Xenopus tropicalis: one gene and its partners. The protein of the gene in region 1 interacts with the protein of each later gene in a pairwise test. Links are inferred from orthologs where the notes say so. Each region holds a gene or a part of one and is shown in the gene's direction. Other genes may lie near its edges.

The links.
Region 2: the proteins of golga2 (region 1) and pin1 interact in binary tests that used the Homo sapiens proteins (3 or more experiments, as listed by UniProt). The two-hybrid records come from large-scale screens. The link is inferred for Xenopus tropicalis from reciprocal best matches to the Homo sapiens genes GOLGA2 and PIN1.
Region 3: the proteins of golga2 (region 1) and arl16 interact in binary tests that used the Homo sapiens proteins (3 or more experiments, as listed by UniProt). The two-hybrid records come from large-scale screens. The link is inferred for Xenopus tropicalis from reciprocal best matches to the Homo sapiens genes GOLGA2 and ARL16.
Region 4: the proteins of golga2 (region 1) and kansl1 interact in binary tests that used the Homo sapiens proteins (3 or more experiments, as listed by UniProt). The two-hybrid records come from large-scale screens. The link is inferred for Xenopus tropicalis from reciprocal best matches to the Homo sapiens genes GOLGA2 and KANSL1.
Region 5: the proteins of golga2 (region 1) and znf410 interact in binary tests that used the Homo sapiens proteins (3 or more experiments, as listed by UniProt). The two-hybrid records come from large-scale screens. The link is inferred for Xenopus tropicalis from reciprocal best matches to the Homo sapiens genes GOLGA2 and ZNF410.
Region 6: the proteins of golga2 (region 1) and gse1 interact in binary tests that used the Homo sapiens proteins (3 or more experiments, as listed by UniProt). The link is inferred for Xenopus tropicalis from reciprocal best matches to the Homo sapiens genes GOLGA2 and GSE1.
Region 7: the proteins of golga2 (region 1) and lcp2 interact in binary tests that used the Homo sapiens proteins (3 or more experiments, as listed by UniProt). The two-hybrid records come from large-scale screens. The link is inferred for Xenopus tropicalis from reciprocal best matches to the Homo sapiens genes GOLGA2 and LCP2.

What each region holds. Positions count from the first base shown.
Region 1 is NC_030684.2:22,913,211-22,916,710, reverse strand, and holds part of golga2 (golgin subfamily A member 2), read left to right. Parts: intron 1-1,565; coding exon 1,566-1,653; intron 1,654-1,768; coding exon 1,769-2,115; intron 2,116-3,113; coding exon 3,114-3,227; intron 3,228-3,318; coding exon 3,319-3,500. UniProt on the Homo sapiens protein: Peripheral membrane component of the cis-Golgi stack that acts as a membrane skeleton that maintains the structure of the Golgi apparatus, and as a vesicle thether that facilitates vesicle fusion to the Golgi membrane.
Region 2 is NC_030679.2:136,777,622-136,780,224, reverse strand, and holds part of pin1 (peptidyl-prolyl cis-trans isomerase NIMA-interacting 1), read left to right. Parts: coding exon 1-163; intron 164-2,421; coding exon 2,422-2,532; intron 2,533-2,603. UniProt on the Homo sapiens protein: Peptidyl-prolyl cis/trans isomerase (PPIase) that binds to and isomerizes specific phosphorylated Ser/Thr-Pro (pSer/Thr-Pro) motifs.
Region 3 is NC_030686.2:27,583,082-27,585,284, reverse strand, and holds the end of arl16 (ADP-ribosylation factor-like protein 16), read left to right. Parts: intron 1-720; coding exon 721-836; intron 837-927; coding exon 928-1,093; 3' UTR 1,094-1,703; downstream 1,704-2,203. UniProt on the Homo sapiens protein: May suppress the RNA sensing activity of RIGI in a GTP-dependent.
Region 4 is NC_030686.2:17,267,763-17,271,262, reverse strand, and holds the end of kansl1 (KAT8 regulatory NSL complex subunit 1), read left to right. Parts: coding exon 1-78; intron 79-842; coding exon 843-1,068; intron 1,069-1,450; coding exon 1,451-1,654; 3' UTR 1,655-3,159; downstream 3,160-3,500. UniProt on the Homo sapiens protein: Non-catalytic component of the NSL histone acetyltransferase complex, a multiprotein complex that mediates histone H4 acetylation at 'Lys-5'- and 'Lys-8' (H4K5ac and H4K8ac) at transcription start sites and promotes transcription initiation.
Region 5 is NC_030684.2:81,888,314-81,891,548, forward strand, and holds the end of znf410 (zinc finger protein 410), read left to right. Parts: intron 1-427; coding exon 428-609; intron 610-688; coding exon 689-778; intron 779-856; coding exon 857-955; intron 956-2,147; coding exon 2,148-2,269; 3' UTR 2,270-2,735; downstream 2,736-3,235. UniProt on the Homo sapiens protein: Transcription factor that binds to the sequence motif 5'-CATCCCATAATA-3', and is specifically required to silence expression of fetal hemoglobin in adult erythroid cells.
Region 6 is NC_030680.2:64,864,865-64,867,315, reverse strand, and holds part of gse1 (genetic suppressor element 1), read left to right. Parts: intron 1-97; coding exon 98-526; intron 527-1,345; coding exon 1,346-1,618; intron 1,619-2,451.
Region 7 is NC_030679.2:32,356,212-32,359,191, forward strand, and holds the end of lcp2 (lymphocyte cytosolic protein 2), read left to right. Parts: intron 1-991; coding exon 992-1,120; 3' UTR 1,121-1,742; exon of another isoform or gene 1,743-2,192; 3' UTR 2,193-2,480; downstream 2,481-2,980. UniProt on the Homo sapiens protein: Adapter protein primarily involved in signaling pathways within T-cells, as well as other immune cells such as platelets, mast cells, and natural killer (NK) cells.

The sequences.
Region 1 (3,500 bases):
GTGATATAATAAATAAATACAATAAACAAGTGCCCCGTAGAGCTTACAATCTAAGTGGTTGGGTAACATACAGGCACAAACTGGAAGGTAAGAGTGCACCAGGTATAAAAAATAATGTTTTAGTGCTCCAGAAGGTAACAGCTGAGTTTTTTCTTAAAGAGAGTGGGTGAGTGTTCCCTACGGAGGGATTCAGGGATAGAGTTCCAGAGGTAAGGAGCAGCGAGCTAGAAAGGTTTAAGACGAGAGAGCGCAGTGGATGTGGATGGTGTAAAAAGACGGAGGCTCTGAGAGGACCGGAGGAGACGACCAGGAACATGCAGGGAGACCAGTGAAGAAATGTTGTGAGGAGCAGAGGAGTGAAGGTCTTTGAATGTTAGTAGAAGGATTTTGTAAGCTATCCTTTGTTTAACAAGCAGCCATGCTAGAGAGCTTAAGTGAGGCTGAACAGGTTCCCTCTTCGGATAGAGCAGGAGGATCCTGGCAGCAGAGTTTAAAATTGATTGCAGGGTAGAGAGGTGGGAGTCTGGGAGGCCGGTTAGTAGGATATTGCAGTAATCTAAGTGGGAAAGGATAAGGGCATGTATTAGTGTTTTAGCTGTTACTTGTGAAAGAAAGGGGCGTATCTTGCAGGGCTGTGGAGTCGGTAGATAAATTCTCTGACTTTGACTCCGACTCCTCAGTTTCTGATACTTCCGACTCCGACTCCTCTGTTTTTAATATGCTAATGTATTTTATACATTCATTGAAGGAAAGGAAGGAGACATACATGTCATTTAACCACAGAACTACTGGCTAGGAAGCCAACACTCTACTGTATTGCCCAATTAAAGCAAAAGACAAACACAATGAAAACAACAAGGTTTTGTTTATTTTTTTTTTTAAACACGTGGCTGGATAGTAATAGCTGGCATAAAAATCAGGAACAGCAACTTTACCAGTTCAAAACAAACCACATTCTTTGGTAGTTTTAAGTTAAAACTAACTCAACGTGTCACTCAACGTGTTCGTTTATGCACTGCGTGCATTGGGCTTTATTCTTATAGCAGAGAAGTAATTAATTATGACTGTTTCTGAATTGGGACATTTAAACTTGCTTTATTTTATTTTTTTTTAATTCCCATTTAAATTTAGTAGGAGTCGGTTCATTTTTTGCCGACTCCCGACTCAAGGTACCCAAAATTGCCTTCGACTCCACAGCCCTGGTATCTTGGCAATATTGCGGAGGAAAAAACGGCAGGTTTTGGCAGTGTTATTTATATGGTTAGAGAAGGAGAGTGACTGGTCAAAGATAACCCCAAGGCAGCGTGCAGAATTTACAGGGTTGATGGTCATGCCATCAATAGCAATGGTGAAAGGAGGAGGAGGGCCAGGTTTGGGCGGGAAGACCATTAGCTCTGTAAAAGAGGGGAAAAACCTGCAACCCCAGAATTTTAAAAAAAAATGTGGGAACCCCACAAAAATACAATCTACCTTTTTAAGTAATAAACTCCTCTATGTAGAAATGTAAGTAATTTTAATATATGGAATCTGAAGCTGCAGTTAGAATGCTATTCTCTCATTTCCAGATCCAGACCTTGGGCCAAGAGAAACAGACAGCTCAGGTACAGGTAGAACAGTTGGAGACCAGGGTGACAGAGCTCCTGCTGGCATCAGGTATGTGCATGGAAGGAAACAAAGATGTCTTCACAATGAATATAGTCCCACACCAGCTTGGTGATGCTCTGCTTCACATGTTCCTTTGCCTTAATCCACTGCTTTGCTATTTCAGCTGCTGAACCAACAGACACTGAGCCCACACCCCCTGCCGGACCCTCTGAAACTGAACTGGCCCTCCACCAAGAGGTGGATCAGCTACAGCAGAATTTTAGTGATCTGCAGGCAAGGTATCAGGCCCAGGTGCAAGACAACAGTCAGCTGAGCCGGCTGAACCAGGAACAGGAAGAGCGGCTACTGGAACTGGAGAAGACGTTACAACGCCAGAGTGAAGAAAACGTAGACAAGCAGCAGATCCTGGAAAACATGCAGAGCGATAAAGCCACCATTAGCCGGGCACTGACCCAGAACAGGCAACTGAAGGAACATTTGGCCGAGCTCCAGAATGGATTTGTCAAACTGGTAGGCATGTCTCCCTATATGAGCTCTTATCGTCTCTTCTGTCTGAATTGCATCTTAAGGAAGCTATAAGATGTAGCAGAGCTGCTCATGGAGAGCAGCTGCTTCTCATTCTTGTCCTTTTTTTTCTCTCAAGTCTGAACCCGGAGTCTAAAGTTGGACAGAACAGCTGCATCAGCCTTATTGGTTTTAAAGGAGTGGTTCACCTTTGAGTAAACTTTTAGTATGTGATAGAATGTCCTATTCCTAGCAACACTGCATTTTTCGTTATTTATTTACTATATTCTTTCAAATAGGGGCCACTGACCTCGGCAGTTAAAAACTATAGCTCTGTGAGGCTACAGTTTTATTGTTATTGTGACTTTTTATTCCTTGTCTATTTATGAGGCCTTACCTGGTTGCTAGGGTAAATAACACCCTAACAACCAGATATTCACTGAACTGGAAAGCTGCTGGTAACTATTTAACAAGTTAAATAGCCAAAAAAACCATACAAAATCAAGACCAATTGCAGAATATCAATATCTACATCATCAAACTAAAAGTTTATTTAAAGGTGAACTACCCCATTAAGGGGCTGGGGGACAGGTCAGGTCCATTTAGTTATAACCTGCATACATAACATCAATAAGGAAATGAACATCACAGTGCAATGCATTGTGGGTTATGTAGTACCTGCATGCTGTCTGTAAGTTGTGGAGAAGTTGTTACAATTTGTGACATCAATGTTTTAGTCCCCCCTTTCCTGGCAGGATTTTAAATGATGCAGAAATAGGAACTGTTTGCATCTGGATTTCAGCATATAAAAATGGTATTTATTTATATAGGTTACAGTGATAGGTATATTAGGGGTTTCAGTGTTGTGTGGGGCTCTTTAAAACATTTTGGTACAGAAGCCAGAGTTCCGCTTTAGGTGTTTGCTTTGGACCTTCCATATATAACCCTGGTATGTCAATATATTGACTATGACTGATCCACTTACTATTCTGTAATTCTTTCAGACAAATGAAAACATGGAGCTCACCAATGCATTACAGAGTGAGCAGCATGTGAAAAAGGAGCTGGCCAAGAAGCTGGGGCAATTACAGGAGACCCTGGGCGATTTCAAAGAGCAGGTCAGCAATGGATGCAGTATCTATAAATGCTGTTTCATTGGGCTGTACATAGTGATACCAATTTGCTCTCTGTGTGTCCTTTCTTGACCAGCTGGCTGCAAAGGAGCAGGACATACAGATTCTGCAGAGTCAGCGAGATGAGGTCTCCGCTCACCTCCAGCAGTACAGTGCAGCATATCAGCAAGTCTCCATTGAGAAAGAGGAGATCCAGAGGCAGTATCTGCTGCAGGCTCAGCTGATGGACAGATTGCAGCACGAGGAGGTGCAGGGGAA
Region 2 (2,603 bases), on another chromosome or scaffold:
CAATGGGAAAGGCCCACTACTGGTGGGAAAAATGGCCAGGGGGAGCCAGGAAAAGTGAGATGCTCTCACCTACTCGTGAAGCACAATCAGTCAAGGCGTCCTTCATCATGGAGGCAGGACAGGATCACTCGCACCAAGGACGAGGCACTGGAGCACATTAATGGTGGGTAAGGAAGGGGCTTCTGTATTAGTGTGACTGTGCTCTATGTCATAATTAGGGCTTGTAAGTCTTTAGGGAGAGCAGCAGATGGTATTTACCATCTTGGGCCACTGTACTGGAGTGATTCTGTCCCACTCTCTCCTCTACACTTTGTACAGGGTAGCTGGATATTGCCTTTATATAAATGTGGCTTTATGTTACTCTGGCACTCCCCGCCCTGTAGTTCCTGAATTCCTGCATTTGGTCTGCATACGCTAAATCAAGAAACCATGGGAATTTCAAGGCGTTAATCCAAGGGAGGATGAGTTATAGTTCATTTGGGTACAGGTGTTCATTATGGAGGAAGGGCATGGGCCCTGAAAGTATTTCATATTAAAAGAAAAAAAGAAAACCTTGGGTGCCAGTTTGTTAGGCATATGCTACTTTTGTCTTTAATTTAAAAAAAAAACCATACTGGCCTGGGTACTTGGTTGGTGAGTGCCCTGCCCAGGAATTCCTTCTGTGAGATTGGGCACACTAGCCCTAGTGTACTGAGCATAAGGCCGCGCCAAGCCTGCTCAGGGGTAACATGGTAAATTAAAGGATAAGTCAAGCTAAAATTAGTGCCAGGTAGGTATAACACCAGTGATTGCAGTTTACCTCTTCTCTCCAGGGCAGTGCTGTCCAACTTCTGTTGTACCGAGGGCTGGAATTTTTCCGACCTACGCGGTGGAGGGCCGATAATGGAAGCCAGTTTGACCACTCCCCTTTTTGAAACCGCACCCACTTGAAACCACACCCACGTTATCACATGACCATACCCATATTAATGGTTGTAGTACAGCAAAAACCTGCCATACTCTGCCTGTCCTACCCTGCCTGTGTGTGCCATACTCTGCCTTCCCTACCCTGCCTGTGTGTGCCATACTCTGCCTTCCCTACCCTGCCTGTGTGTGCGCCATACTCTGCCTTCCCTACCCTGCCTGTGTGCCATACTTGGCTGGTTTGTGCCATACTTGGCCTGTGTGTGCCATACTCTGCCTGCCCTACCCTGCCTGTGTGTGCCATACTTTCACTGTGTTTGCCATTCTTGGCTGGTTTGTGCCATACTTGGCCTGTGTGTGCCATACTCTGCCTTCCCTACCCTGCCTGTGTGTGCCATACTCTGCCTTCCCTACCCTGCCTGTGTGTGCCATACTCTGCTTGCCCTATGATGCCTGTGTGTATGGCACACACAGGCAGCCTACAGTGACACAATGCTGGCACTGCTCCTACAGTCTGCACAATAACTATATATTAAAAAACTTTTTAATTGCAGTACCACCTCAGTATATGTTCTTTTTGTAGTGTGCAGGGATTATTTGTGGGTTTCTACTGCTCCGGAGGTGTGAACAGGGGAACAATATGGGTGATTACAGCCTGAGCCTGAGGTGTGAACACTGCAGGGGGTGAACAATGCAGAGATTAAAAGGTGTGAACAATACAGGGAATTACATATTTAAACAATACAGAGGGATTACAGCCTGAATCTGAGGTGAGAACCATGCAGGGGGCCATTTAATCTCAGTACTGATACCATTTAAAGCTTACACAAGAGTAAGCCATCAAAGCAGCCAGACAGGTGGGGGGCCACACAGAGGGGGGTCGCGGGCCGCCAGTTGGACAGCACTGCTCCAGGGTGTGGGAATGCCCATTGCACAGAATATCTCTACTTTGCCCAGAGCAAACAGAGCCTGTGGTCTCTGCCCAGCAATGATATATTTTGTTATAGATTTTGAATTATTTCCAGCATTCAGATAGGATCACTGCTCTGTGAGGCCACAATACTACTGTTACTTTTATTATTTACTGTTCTATAATTTGTCTCCTATTACTCTTCCTTAGCCTTGTCCTAACTTACGCATGTGAATGATGTGCACAGTAAGGGCAGGTAGGGTGTGGGGGCTCCTGCGTGCCTCCCCACCCACCTCTCTTGAATCCTACTCTGACTAAAGCAGTCGGCATTGGATCCATTGGCCATGCTGCAGGTCTGTTTGCACCAAGCCAAACGCAACCCCTTCGTAGATATGAAGTGAAAAGAGGCTGCGGTCAGTACAGAGTGGCAACTTTCCTCAATATGTTTCCTCCAGCATTTATGTAATTCAAAGCCAGAGGCACAGTGTCATATTAAACATTTGCCACTTAAGGAGATCCAGCAAACAGAAAATGCAGTTCTACGCACGTAGCCAATATACATTATATTAGACATCTTCAGTGGTTTTAGTGTTATTCATGTTTTCCAGGCTACATCCAGAAGATAAAATCGGGGGATGAGGATTTTGAATCTCTTGCTTCTCGGTTCAGTGACTGCAGCTCAGCTAAGGCTGGAGGGGATCTGGGCAGCTTTGGGAGAGGTAAGTTTAGATAAAGAAGCACTGCTATGAAATATGTATTATTTTTATATAGTAACGTAGATTTGGATGAC
Region 3 (2,203 bases), on another chromosome or scaffold:
CACTGACCTATCTATCCACTCACATACAGACCCATACTGACCTATCTATCCACTCACATACAGACCCACACTGACCTATCTATCCACTCACATACAGACCCATACTGACCTATCTATCCACTCACATACAGACCCATACTGACCTATCTATACACTCACATACAGACCCACACTGACCTATCTATCCACTCACATACAGACCCACACTGACCTATCTATCCACTCACATACAGACCCATACTGACCTATCTATCCACTCACATACAGACCCATACTGACCTATCTATCCACTCACATACAGACCCATACTGACCTATCTATCCACTCACATACAGACCCATACTGACCTATCTATCCACTCACATACATACACCATATATACCAACATCAATACTAACTGTAGATATTAGTATCACAATAGCCTTGGATACTATGCTTGTTCAAGAACTCATCCAGGCCCCTCTTAAAGGCATTAACATAATCTGCCATTACAACATCACTAGGAAGGGCATTCCCCAACCTCACTACTTTCACCGTGAAAAACCACCTATGCTGCTTCAAATGGAAGCTCCATTCCTCTAATCTAAAGGGGGGGCCTCTGGCCTGGTCTGAATTTCAGTATCCTTTAGGTGCCACTAATTTTTGAAGGGCTTCATCTGAATACCACTGAATTAATGTATTCTGTTTTATTCATATATTGTGATTTTCATGTTATTTTAGTTTATGGTTGATGCTGCTAACCCAAACCAAGTGTCTGCATCATGTATCCAGCTTCTGGCCGTGCTGTCTGCGGAGCCTTTGGTGTCTGCTTCAGTGCTGATTCTTTTTAATAAGATGTAAGTTTTTATGCCTTCTTTCTTATTGACTTATTATTCTTAGACTATGACTAAGCATGTAGTTAATAAGTTCCATTTTTGTTCCCTGTAGAGACCTGCCATGCTATATGTCATTGGTGGAAATAAAGTCACTGTTTAGAATGGATGACATCATTTCTTGTGCTAAGCAACAAATTTCAGTCCTGCAAACAAGCTCACTAGATGGCACTGGTTTACAAGATGTTATGCACTGGTTGCATTCCAATTGTGCTCAATAACATTCCCTTCACTGGCAATGAAACAGTATGCAGAATGCACCACTTAAATGTTGGATGTACAGCAGTGTTTCCTGGGCAAAACATTCTTAGCACTGTCCCAGTGAAGCCATTTTCCCTTTCTTTGGAGCAGAGAAACAATGGGAAGAAGTGTGTCTATGTGTTTACAGTAGCATTTTCTGCAGAAGGAGTTTGCATCCATTGCACACATTTAGGTATCAACCACATTCAGCCTGATGTGTCCAGATAAAATACAACCAAGGATATCTTTGATACTTACTGAAGCAGTACTTCCTGCATGAATTGGGGACCATTTCCATGTCTTTATCCATGCCAGGGTCTTACAAACATTGGTACGGGATTAACAGAAACATAAGAAGAGATGCTGCAAGTTTTGGCATCACTTTCTCCATCCACTTTCCACTGTCACTCATTTACAGTTACCACATATTAAGAATGGGTCCATTGAAGGTCAAAGCCTCTTTCAGCTGGAATTAAGAGTCTTATTTGATAAGCTATGATTACAATTATGAACATTAATACAAATGATTAAAGTTGAATATGTTTTATGTGGTTTTTTTAATACAAAATTGTAATAAAAGTGTAAACCTTTAATTGTAAAAATGATGCAGGATCATTAAGCTTTTTGATGTGCTGCTAGTGAGCAGTAACCTACACATGCACACAGTAGTAGGACAGTAGTTGCATTAATTAGATGCACTTGGATGATGTTATTTCAAAAATAGTTCAGCATCAGTTCAACACAACCTTTATAACATGATTTTCAGGTTCCCAAAAAGGGTTTTATGGGGAAGCTATTGAACCCAGGTGGCTGCTTTTGTATTATGCTAGAAGTCATAGAAGATCTCCAACCTTAGGTGCTGACTGCAAGGTTGGAGGGCAGCACTGACTTGGCTGCCTGATGGTAGCAAGGAGTCCTGACATGGCACTGCCCTGCCAGCAGTTGCAGGGTTGTTTCCTCTACATGATTTAGTAACATGATTAGTGAGTTTGTATTATAGCTGTGGGTAAAAAAAAATCCACATACATACATAAGTTTAACCTTTTGTTGTAGCAAAACCTTCCTACCTACTACCTGATTGTTTGTGTGGT
Region 4 (3,500 bases), on another chromosome or scaffold:
TGAATTGCATGCAAAGTGCGAAGAACAGGAGCGGGCAAGATGGCTGAGCAGTGTCCCTCCCCAACGCCGCGGAAGCCGGTAAGAGGGATCTTGGCACTGCCTTATAATAAACAGTGTTTCCCTAAAACCAGTTATAACATGAGGCTCGTGAGTTAATCACATGGGTATATAGTTGAGTATCCATGTAGTATGACTGCCGTATGTGCCTGATGCCACGCCTGTACCAACAAATATCTCTCGTGCATGTGCCACATTCCATGGTTGTGTTTTGTGCTGGTTTGGTTGCCATAGTTACTTGCATGACATGAGTGTCGCTCTCCATGCTTGGAGCGAGCAATAAAGCTCTAAAAAGGTCACAGGCAAGTGAGCAAGCGTTCCCTTACTGCATTTCTGCACTCCCACAGGCAGCTGTCTGCAACAGGCAGTGTTCCGCGGGATGTTCCCTGCAGTAGATAGAATGTGGAACACTGCAATCTGCCTGACTCTTCCTATTTCCCAAGGATCCGAGTCCATGTACAGCTGCACCATCTGCTGGTGGCAGGAGGAATTGCAGGAATTTATTTGGCCTTTAGAGAGGGAAGGATCTGGTAACATCTAAAGCTTCATAGTGAGGATGATTTTGTTCAGGGCTCCCTGTGCTACTCCCCAGAGCTGCAACCTCCTTCAATTCAGTCTTTTATTCTATTGCCATATTGCTAAGTTGCCTCTTTCCTTTTATTGCTGTAGCAGCATATTGTGCCCTGGCCTGTGATTCCAAATATATAACTTTTACATTTTTCTTTCCCTTTAATTGAAACTAAACATTCCTTGTACTCACCATTGTATTCTTCTTCCCCTCTCAGGACTCACAGAACATCCGAAAGCTCGGTCACCCCTTCCGCTGGTACTCGTCCCCTTACACCCCAACCCTCCTCCCCTGACACAGGCAGTTGGCAAGCCATCCCCGATTTCTCCCCCCTCAGCCCAGATGTTCTCTCTGCTCCTCCCACCCCGACCTCCCGAGAGACCTCACGTCTGCTCTCTGAAGAGACCCAGAGCTCCATTTCTGACTCCGGACGCGAGGAGCTGGTGAGTCACGTGGTTCTTACACCTGACTGGGGGGGTTTAATGGAAAAGTTTAGAGGATTTATTTTGTTGGCGTTGTTCCTTCTGTCTTTCTGTTGGTTATTTCCTAAGCATTTTCCAGCCGGTCCTTTAATGGGGTGGCCCACCTTTAATTTAACTTTTAGTATGTTATAGAATGGCAAAAAAATACAAATAATAAAAAATGAAGACAAATTGCAAATTGTCTCAAAAGATGAACAACCCCTTTAAACCACAGGGTTAGTGGCCCTAGCAACCTGATAGCCGTTGCATACTGGAGAAATGCACAAAGGCCAAGTAGCACCAAACAGTGGTATATTAGTATTTCTAGCTGATATATCTGTACTGATTTACATCTCTTTTGCAGGCCGTTCAGCCCTGGGAACGGAGAAACTTCCCCCTTTCATACAGTCCCAAACGGGAACTCACAGGACCTTGTGAGCCCACAGACTGGGGAGGAGCTCGCCCGCCGCGCCGCCCTTCCTGCAGCTCTAAAACTGCCAAAGACCCAGAGGATCCCCCGTCCTCTCCCCCCTGCCCTGTCTCAAGGCCACGACCGCTCCACAGATAGGGAGGTGAGGAGAGCGATGCCCCTGATCAGAGACGATTTGGCTCCAAAAGAAAAAAATAAATAAAAAATCCAACTGTTTGATATTCAAACTTGATCCCCAGAAGTGTGCGCCATTTTCACAATTTTTAGTGAATTGAAGGACTTTAGGGGAGAATTTTCTTTTCTTTATTTTTGTTGTTTTGTTGCGGGAGGGGGACATGGTAACTGCTCTTTCCTTCTCTGGGTGCGGCTTCTGCAAAAGGCAGGCAGTCTGCAAAGCTGATCATATTGACACTTTTTCTGTTCCTATTGGCTGAGAGACCACCCATTAGCGCATTACTGCATTCCCACAAGCTTGTGTGCCGAAATGTTCGTTTAGGCCCCAGCGACCCCCTCCATCCCTGCAGTATAAAGCACTTAGTGTTCAGTGGGGAAACAGGACTTGTTTACAGATCTCCCCAATCAGAAACCTTAAGCTGGCCATGCACAGGCCAATAAAAGCTGACAATTTGATCCAGCAGATCAAGTCAGCAGATTATTGGCCCATGTATGAGGTCTCCTGACTGCCTGCCAGCAGTTAATCCATCTAATGGGAAAGTGGCTGAAAGGATTCTCTCAATGAGATCCTTTCCAGATAGGTCTATTGGGATTTGACCTGGTGAGTGGATGACCAAATTGGGCAAAGACCCACTTGACTTCTCTAACTACACAGATTTGGCCAACATAAGATTGCTGCCTATTAACCAGAATCTGGTTTCTGATTGGCTGGAAATCCTTTTTTTACAGTTGGTTCCCCAATCTGCTGATGTTATGCCCCATAATGTGTGGGAATAATGAAACCGTAAGGGCAGCAGGCTGGTGTTCTGGCCCTTTATTCGAAGCAGAGCTGTTGCAACCCCAAACCTAACTTCTTGCACTGTGTTTAAATGTGAGTGAGTGAGCAGTTACTGAGGATAAACGAACCCCTTCCTACTTGTCCTTGTTATACCCCCTGCCCCAGGTTTAAACTTGTTGTTCTTCAGTTCCAAGTTCTACTCATTTTAAGTCTTTAACCTGCTTTTCCCGTAATTCCTTTATTTTTCTTTTACTCTCTGTGCCAGTCAAAGGCTCTGTGGCACTTAATGGGTTAACACATTTTAAATCTCCCCCCCCCCCCCCCCCCCCCCACCCAATCTTTAAGCATTAATAAATGGCTTTAGTTCTCCGATGAGAATATACATTGAAACCAAGGGGAGAACTTTTAGCTTTGTATAAAGGAGATCATTAAAGAATTGTATTTTGTAAATAACTTTTTATTAGCTTTTCTGCCTATTTTGTTTGGGTTTTTTTTTTTTTCTTGACAGCATAAAGATGGCGGAATGGGCGCCATCCACTGGGTTGTATCTGCGGAAGAGGAGAAAAAAAAGTTAATGCATTTTGTTGTTGTTTTCAGGGTAATCTTTTCTTTGTTTAATGTCTATCCTGTTGCAAAAAAATAAGCACTGGGCAAAGTGCTGGAGAAAAAGACAAAAAAGGGAGAAAAAAAACAAAAAAAAAACAAAAAAAAAAAAACTGAAATAATAAACCAGTTAAACACTGTCCCTTGTCTGGCCTGTCATTGCTTACTTTCTATTGGTTAACTGCTCCTAGTGTGTTCCATAAGGGATTGGAAGTGTATCACTCATATATTATAAGGGATAATGTACCCCCTACTGTAAATGATAAGGATATTAGAAGTCACTGAGGGGTTCTGTGCCCATATAAAGGCACAAGGCTGCAGGCTGAGTTATACAGGGAACTCGGAGTATCACTCATGTATTATAGGGGATAATGTACCCCCTACTGTAAATGATAAGGATATTAGAAGTCACTGAGGGGTTCTGTGACC
Region 5 (3,235 bases), about 59 Mb from region 1:
AGCGAGTGAGATGGACCAGTTGAATTGTTTTTCTTGTATCTCCATACCCACACCGGGCAGCCAAAGGGCTGGTTATTATTCTAATTATTATGAATTATTCATGTATTGCCTGTGTAGCCTGCATACTTTAAAATGAATGATATATAATCTCTGTAGTCTCTGCCCCAGTGGTACTTACAGTCCAAGGTACCCATCAACTTTACACACATTATGGACAATTTTATTAGAAACTCATGCAAGCACAGGGAGAACATACAAAATCCTAGTAGATAGTGCCCTTCCTGACACTGAACCCAGTACTACAGGCAAGGCAGCAGTGTTTACCATTGCACTACCATGTACTGGTGGTTATATTTGCCAGTGATTATGTTATGGCTGTTAAAAGAAATGTATCCAACTTTGCTTGTGCTTCTTTTTTAATTTTTAGAAATGACCGTTCTTTTGCTTGCCCGTCAGAAGGTTGTGGGAAGAGATTCTATGTCTTACAAAGACTGAAAGTTCACATGCGCACTCACAATGGGGAAAAGCCTTTCCTTTGTTCAGAGCCAGGCTGCGGGAAACAGTTCACCACAGCAGGGAACCTGAAGAATCACCTCCGTATCCATACTGGTGTGTGTGCCTGTTTCTACAGACCTGGAATAGATATAAGGAAATATTTTTTTTAACCCCTGCACATATGTTTCTGCAGGAGAGAAACCATTTCTCTGTGAGATGGAGGGGTGTGGACGCTCTTTTGCAGAATATTCAAGTCTTCGGAAACACCAGGTTGTCCATTCAGGTACCTTAATTTATTTTCTTTAGCATCCAGTATTGCAGCATTGATTCTTGTGTTTAAGATCTTAATCTTGTTTTTCAGGGGTAAAATCTCATCAGTGCCCTGTGTGTGGTAAAACTTTCTCTCAGAGTGGGAGCAGAAATGCCCATCTAAGAAAACATCACTCGAGGAGCATTGATGGTAAGTGGATGCGTTGAAAACAGGGCTTGTCCTTTTTTATTATTTTTAGCCATCCGAGTATTACTGTAGGGAAAGGTTTTAAACAGGCAGTATAAATCAAGGATAAGAATATGGCATCTAATTTGTATCTGATTGCATTGCTGCTATTGTGGCAGAAATTAGGGAACTTAGTATTTTTTTTGTGTAGCGTTCCACCAATGAACAGCAGAATGAGTGGTGTATTTTAGGGTAGACATCACTTTGTGCTTTATAACTCTCTAATAACAAATATCGTATCACTTCTGATCTCACATTTTAGTTGAAACGTGTTAAAGAAATTATGAGTTCCATGATAAATTAAAGGTACTATGGTTTAAATCAAATACAAGCATTGTATTACTATTATTAAACAGTGAAAAATATAAAAGGTACTGATCTATTTAATACAATATAGGAAATATCTCCCCCGCCTTAATGGCATTATTTGTACTGCATATATCCCCCTGCCGTTTTTCCTCTGATACATTAGATACATTTAAATCTCAAACAGCATACACACACACACTCACAGACCCTTATTCAGCATATTTTTCATCAAGAATACAGGCTCACACAGGCTGAACTGTCTGATAAAAGTTCTGCTTTGTTTGAGCTGAGCTCAGGAGAGGAAGTTAGGAGAAAAAAATTGAAGCAGACAGCTAGAGCTGAGTTTCTATGGGAACCATCAATGCCATCTCTTTACTGACTGCTAGACTGGAGGGCGTTTGGTAATCTGAGCTGAGAACAACTGAGCATGCCCACAAGCCAACAGCCAAAGCAAATTCCTGAGGGATGGGGCTGAGTGGGTTACAGGAGGAGAAGGAAATCTAAGTGATTAAGGGATGTTGTAGCCTTACTATTAGCATCTGGACAACCAGTGTGGCAGGTATTGAAATATTTCAAAGAGGCTGTTCACTGATTAAATTTTTGTGTGTGGGGATTACATGTCCTTTAAGGGTTATTTCTTATTGACCATTCAGTGAATATTGTTTCATATATGACAACATGCTATACCTGTAACAGCCCACACTGGGAATATGAATGTTCTGGTGGACTCCAGAGGGGCTACTGAAAGATGCCTAGACATGTGCTTTATTAGGCCTGTTGGAGGCCATAAAGTGACAATGATCCAAGGATTTTAACTGTTTATGTTCATGGTTTTGTTGTTCTACAGACCAAAGTACCTCATCCCACTGTACACACACTGTGCAAGAGACTCTGCAACATTCCCATCTGCTTTCTGTGGGATCGGAAAGACAGTCATATGAAGAGGATGTGTCCATTTTGTTGAACTGAACCCATTTATTTAGACGACTTTTGTTCATTACAAGCATTTTTGTTGGTCTTTGTGGGATTACAAGTATTCCGTCTCTTAAGAACAAAGTATAAGCAAATTATGTTTCATTGGCAAAAAATGAACTTGCCTGCAGAGACAATGTGGAAAAACGAGCCTGGATTATATGAAAATAAGACCCTGAAGCAGAAAAAGCATGGTACTTATCATTCAGTGCAAGTTGATTCTGTGGCTGAAATAAGTTTCCAGCTTGGATTTTCGTCTTTGGGTTTTGCCTCAGTTGGTACTATTTCTAAAGTACAAGGACATAGTTTTGTGTGTAAACTTTTGGTTGCACACACAGGGCCCTGCTCCCAAACTGTGCAATCACACCTTCTCCTTTAATTTATATTCAGATTCATAAACTGCAAACCATCCAATAGAAGGGCTCATTAAACTGCACAATGAAAAATAAACTGTTAAACTGCAGATTTAGTTAATCGGTTTATTGATATTTAGTAAAACCCTGAGAGCTTTGTTTCTGGTATACCTATATAGTGTGAAATTACATGTGAATTGAATATCTCAGGATAGAAGTGGGAAGGGGTATTCACTTGTAACAGTTTTGTGGCTAATAGTGTCCAAGGGATATGATCAGTTAGAGAATATTTAAAAAAAAAAAATGAAAGCCAATTCAGTAGGCACAAAAAGACTATATTCTCTGATGTGTAATTATATAATGGCCATTTTCCTGGCCAAACCGAATCCTAAAAATCACGTGACTTTTTGTCATATAAACACTGAAGTTGGAAATTTCCGTAACCTAATTAGCATATGTTAATTCGGATTTAGTTTGGCTTCAGTTTGCTGTAACTGTTTGTTTTTTGATGTAAAAAGACCAGACGATTTTTCCTTTTTGATGTAAAAAGACCAGACGATTTTTCCATTGCAGTCTTAAGCCATACATAGGCTGATTCAGGCCCTTCAGA
Region 6 (2,451 bases), on another chromosome or scaffold:
AGTCATAGCATAATGCTGTATGTTTATCTTTTTTCTTTTAGTTTTGTGCTGTTTACAACAAGTTAATATTTAAATAAGTCTTGTCATATTCTTTCAGCCGCAGTTTCTGAAGAACAGGTGGCATCGCAAGCTTCTGTAGAGTGTGAAAGGCCACCATCTCTTCCTTCCACATCAGGCACAGTCCCACTACCAGAGCCAGTAAAACTTCCAGAGGCCTGTCGATCAGATCAGCCTAAGCCTTTGGATCCCATTAAGGTCCCTCCTCTGCCTATTGCTGCCCCATCTACTGCTTCAGGCACATCAGCCACAGAGAAGACAAAGCAAAGTGAGGTTATGCCTGGAAAACGGAGTCTTAGTATCTTGAACTTTGTACGGGGGCACCCGCCCAAAGAGAGCACTGTATCACCACCTCAGAGTGTGAATGGAAGAACCAAGTCTTGGGGGCCATTTATAGCTGAGGAGTTTGCTCACCAATTTCATGAGTCTGTATTACAGTCCACTCAGAAAGCCCTGCAGAAGCACAAAGGTAAGAGCAGATTTGATCTATTTTAATTTAAGTTATGTGTTGTTATGCGTTGTGGGCTTCAGAAGTAGAAGTTTAATGCAGGCTGAAAAGCAGAGTGGGATTTATTTGGGCCTGATCTGTATGTGTCAGTCTAGACTACATTGCTTGAATTTTTACTGTGTATTAAGTCAGCCATTCCAGACCGAGTCAGCAGCTTATTGGCACAAGTATGGAGCCCCCCCATCAATCTGCCCTACTGACTTCTAGACGAAAATTATTGGGATTTTCAAACTGCTCTAAGTAAGGACTACATAAGCATCAGGGGCGATTCTGGACATATCGCCACCTGAGGCGTCTCCGGGATGCCGCCCCCGCTCCCCAGTGCTTACCTTCTGAGCGCAGGAGCGGGTCCGGGGGCGGTGAGATCACTAGTGCAGAGAGCACAATTAAAAAACGGAAATTCGGCTCTTAAAGTTACCAGGAGCGGCTTTTTGCCGCCCCTGGTAACTGGGGCGCTTCTGCCGCCTGAGACGAGTTTCTCAACTCGCCTAATGGCAGAAGCGCCCCTGATAAGCACATTGATGCAGTTTAGGCCCAGATTTAGTTGCTAGCCTAGAGGCCAAACAATCGTTTCAGCCTGATTTGGCCCAGGGCGACTGTAGGCAGGAGAGTGAAATCATTTCAGTGTGCATTATGTCACTTCTGAAACCTGGTACCTAGGGTGGCACCAGACCTAAATACAGCCCTGCATGGATATAGTTTAGATTAAATGTTTGGTACTGTCTTCTTGAGTGAGACTTGTGCAGTAGTATAAACCTTATTTTTATTCTGGGTTTGCAGGAGTTTCAGCTATGCACTGTGCAGAACAGAACCACAAACCCGATGCATCTGTTCATTATAACATTCCTGAGCTGCAACACTCCAGCCGGCCAACAGCACTACATCAGAATGGCCAGCAAGTGTCAGGACAGTCAGCAGTAGGGCGCGTGCAAACACAGCAAGCAACAAGCTCTGAGGAAGAAACAACTGATGAGGAGGAAGAAGAGGAGCCACCCAGGCCTAAGTGGCAGGGAATTGAGGCAATATTTGAAGCCTATCAGGAACATGTGGAAGGTAAGATTGCACTTTAATAGTTTTTTTTTTCTTTTACCTAAGATCTCATTTATTGATGACTAAAGGTGGCTGTACAAGGGCAAATTTCAGCTGCCGATTCGGGTTCTTCAGATGGGCCTACCAATCCAATATCTGGCCTAAAATTGGCCAGATCTTGATCAGGCAGGTTTGATATTCCTGTCAGATTTGGGGACCATGTGGTCTCGTTGATTTGGTCCAATGGGCCAAATACTTTTATATAATTTTGATTCAGTGGTTTGGCACTAGGGCCAAACAATCAAAGTAGCCACATATCACCCACCTTAGGTGGCCATATCAGGAGAAGATCCGCTTGTTAGTCGACCTTCCACACAAGCAGATTTTACTGTGTATGGCCATCTTTTAACTTGTAGCAGACTATGCACCTTTATTAGACAAACCCTGAAAGTGTCATTGTCATCTTTGAGTAGAATTGCTAACATACTCTCATGAACTTTCCATTCGATAAGCAAAAAGTGGAGGCTCGGCAGAGCACAGTTTCAGTCCCTTTCCCTGTTGTTTTGTACAATGAAGAATAAGCTGCCAGGAAAAGATATCAAAGAATTTCCCTCACCTTTAGTAGAACCTGTTACTAGCTCATTGCTGCTTTAGTTCGTGGTGACGTTGGGCTTTATTCCTAAAAATTCCAGTGAAAGATAGTGCCTTGAAGGAAGGAGAGAGGGGGCAGCACATGCATGTCAAGTAGAGAGATTTGTCCTGCTGGGCAAATGGGAAAGTACTAAGTACTCCATGTCAAAAAAGCCAGTTAGGCTATATCGCTTGCTATTGTGTGGCCTAACCCAAGTGTGCAACCA
Region 7 (2,980 bases), on another chromosome or scaffold:
CATATCAATGTTGTTTTTTGATTTTGCTGCCTCAATGAAACAAATGCTTTCTAAACAAAACCCTTTTATTTTTATTATCAATTCGTGAAGTACTAGTTTAGCGTTAACTATTCTTCTAATTTCTCTGGAGTTTGACTATGCATTGTTGTTGGCCACAAGAACTTAAAGGAACAATTTGTGGATTAAAGTCTCTCATTTTTGGTTTTATTGCAATGCGATCTATGTGGATCATGAATGCTAACTTCTGCTTTCAGAGTGCTTCACTGCATTTCCAGTTACAAGGAAACAGAAATGGGGGCCTCAAATATATATAGTCAAAAATAATCATAATTTAGCAGTCCATTAAGCTATGTTTAATTCTGTATGAAGTTAATGTAAATTATAAGAAAATGGCAGAAAAAAAAAATATCATCATGTGCTGGCAGCCCTCATTGTGCCGAGATCCTAGTCTTAATCAGTTAAAGGTTCTTAACCCCCCATTTGTTGAAATTTGTAAAAATTTCCATTACACTACATTTTGTAGTGTAACGCTGACCATAGATACTCGGTAGGGCAGTTTGGCCATTTTCCACCATACTGCCCAAACATCAAGGATTATTGGAACTGATGGAAAGTTTCTGTTAGTCGCCCATAAGGTAGTTAAGCCTCAGCTCTGTGGCTCCTTTATTGCAGTGTGCATAAAGTAGGGGAATGGAGATATAGCGCATGGAAATTCAAGTGTCAAGGTGATACAGGGAAGGGCTCTTTATCATCCCCAGTTAGAGTTTCAAAAATTACAATGAAATGATGCAATATCTTGAACTTTTCATTGAATGCGCACTATATTCTAAAAACACTAAAGCTGGTTGGTTAAATTTTCCATAATTCCACGCTGCTGTCTTGGGGTCCCACCAATATATAAGGTATAATGCATTTCCCTGATTTTACACCATTTTTTCTGGTGATTTTCTGTAATTTGCTAATCGTTAACAAAATTCCCTGTTTTTTGCAGACCTTTACTTCAGTGGAGGAAATTATTGACTACTTTCATAAAACACCACTTCTTCTTATTGATGGAAAGGATCAAAGTTCGAGGCAACACTGTATGCTTACATTTGCTGCTGGTTGCTGCCTAACTTAACAACAAATAGTCATCATTTACTCATTGGTGAACACTGGTTATTGTCAAGCTTTCCAAAGGATAACAGTTACACCGTTCTTTTTAAAATTTTTAACTCAGTTTTTCTTTTTTTAAATGAAGTTTTTCGAAGCCTGAAGGCAGGCATACCATCAAATTGCTTTTATTCATTCCGATATGGTGGTAAAACCATATTGCTCCAACAGACTCGGCAACATGCAAAGTGAATATTCAGTAATATCTAAATTGTGTTGCGACATCTCTTAACATTTGATAAAAGAAATCCATAACCTGCTCCTATTAACTGTGTGCAATATAAGATATGACTATGCAATGAAATGCAGCAAGTGCCGACTATAAGGACAGAAAAAAAACAGCTTGTGGGAATCTGTATTTCAGTGTGTTGTTATACTAAGTAACTGCTATTTCTTGCTAGGCTGCTGATGCCACTGGAGTTCTTGTTAATAAAAAATTTGTGTTTATCTGTACATACTATTGGGCATTCAGCGAGTAGTTTCACAGCAGTAATGTTTATTGCAGTAATGAAAAATACCACTCGTAGATAACACAGGCTTGGTGCCACACAGAGCAAACCTGAGAATGATTGCACTGAGTGTGAAAAGTGCTCTCTATTAGTGATGAGCGAATCTGTTCCGTTTCGCTTCGCCGAAAAATTAGCGAATCTTTGAAAAGATCCGCGAAACGGCGAAAAATTCGCGAAGCGGCGAAAATGTCGTGCGACAAAAAAAATTGTCGCCCGCGGCTATTATTTTGTCGCGCGCGGCTCTTGTTTTGTCGCGCGGCTCTTGTTTCGTCGCGCGGCTCTTGTTTCGTCGCCCGCGGCTCTTGTTTCGTCGCGCGGCTCTTGTTTCGTCGCCCGCGGCTCTTGTTTCGTCGCGCGGCTCTTGTTTCGTCGCCCGCGACTATTCTTTTTTGACGCCGCAACAATTTTTGGACGTGCGGCGAATTTTTCCGCGGCGAAATTTTTCATCCGTTTCGCGAAACAATCCGCCAATGGCGAAACGCGGAAATTCGCCGCGAATCCATGCCTGGCGAAACTTTTCGCCCATCACTACTCTCTATTAATAAGCAGAAAGTTCTAAAGCTGTTTGCCACAACTAATTGTGATGAATGGCCATGTTTGCTACACAGAGTTCACTCAAGCTCTTTTTGTATACCCTAACCCAGCAAGAAAATATTCTCATGATACCATCTCCCCTGAGTTCACCAACAAATGCTGTACTAGGGCTTTGAATTAATTTCACTGTGCCATGTTACACAATTATATTGTATGGATGTACTCATTTGTTTTAATATGTGTACAATGGAATGAAGCAATCCTTAATAAATGCTGAGAGAATATTTGAACATTTTTTCCTGCTAGTGGCGGCTTTGATAATATTAAAAGACTGCTTTATAGAGTGCGTCAATACCATATGTCTTGCACTGAACACCATAGGAAGGATATTAGAAACGGCGTGCATTGTTTTTGTACCACTGTACAGATTGCTTTCGGTAAGTCACATCTGGGTAGATTCCAGTGTAATCAAGGACACTGATATTATAAGGAATTATTATTAAAGTTTTATTATTAAAAGCAATTACCAATAGCCCAGCAACTCTAAGTTGCCTGGTTCACATATACTTCTTCTACAAAAAAGTAAAAATCAAAAGCCATTTATGCGTGGAATACAAAAAATTAGTTAAATGCAAAGCATGGGCAGGAGCAGAGCAGCCCTGTCTTTACTAGCTGCCATAGGGCAGTAAGTACCCGGCCCAGGTACAGACTTTACCTGCTTGGCACTTTCTGTCACTTAGAATCACAAGTTAGGGAATAGGGAGTGCGTGGGATGCATCTGCTTT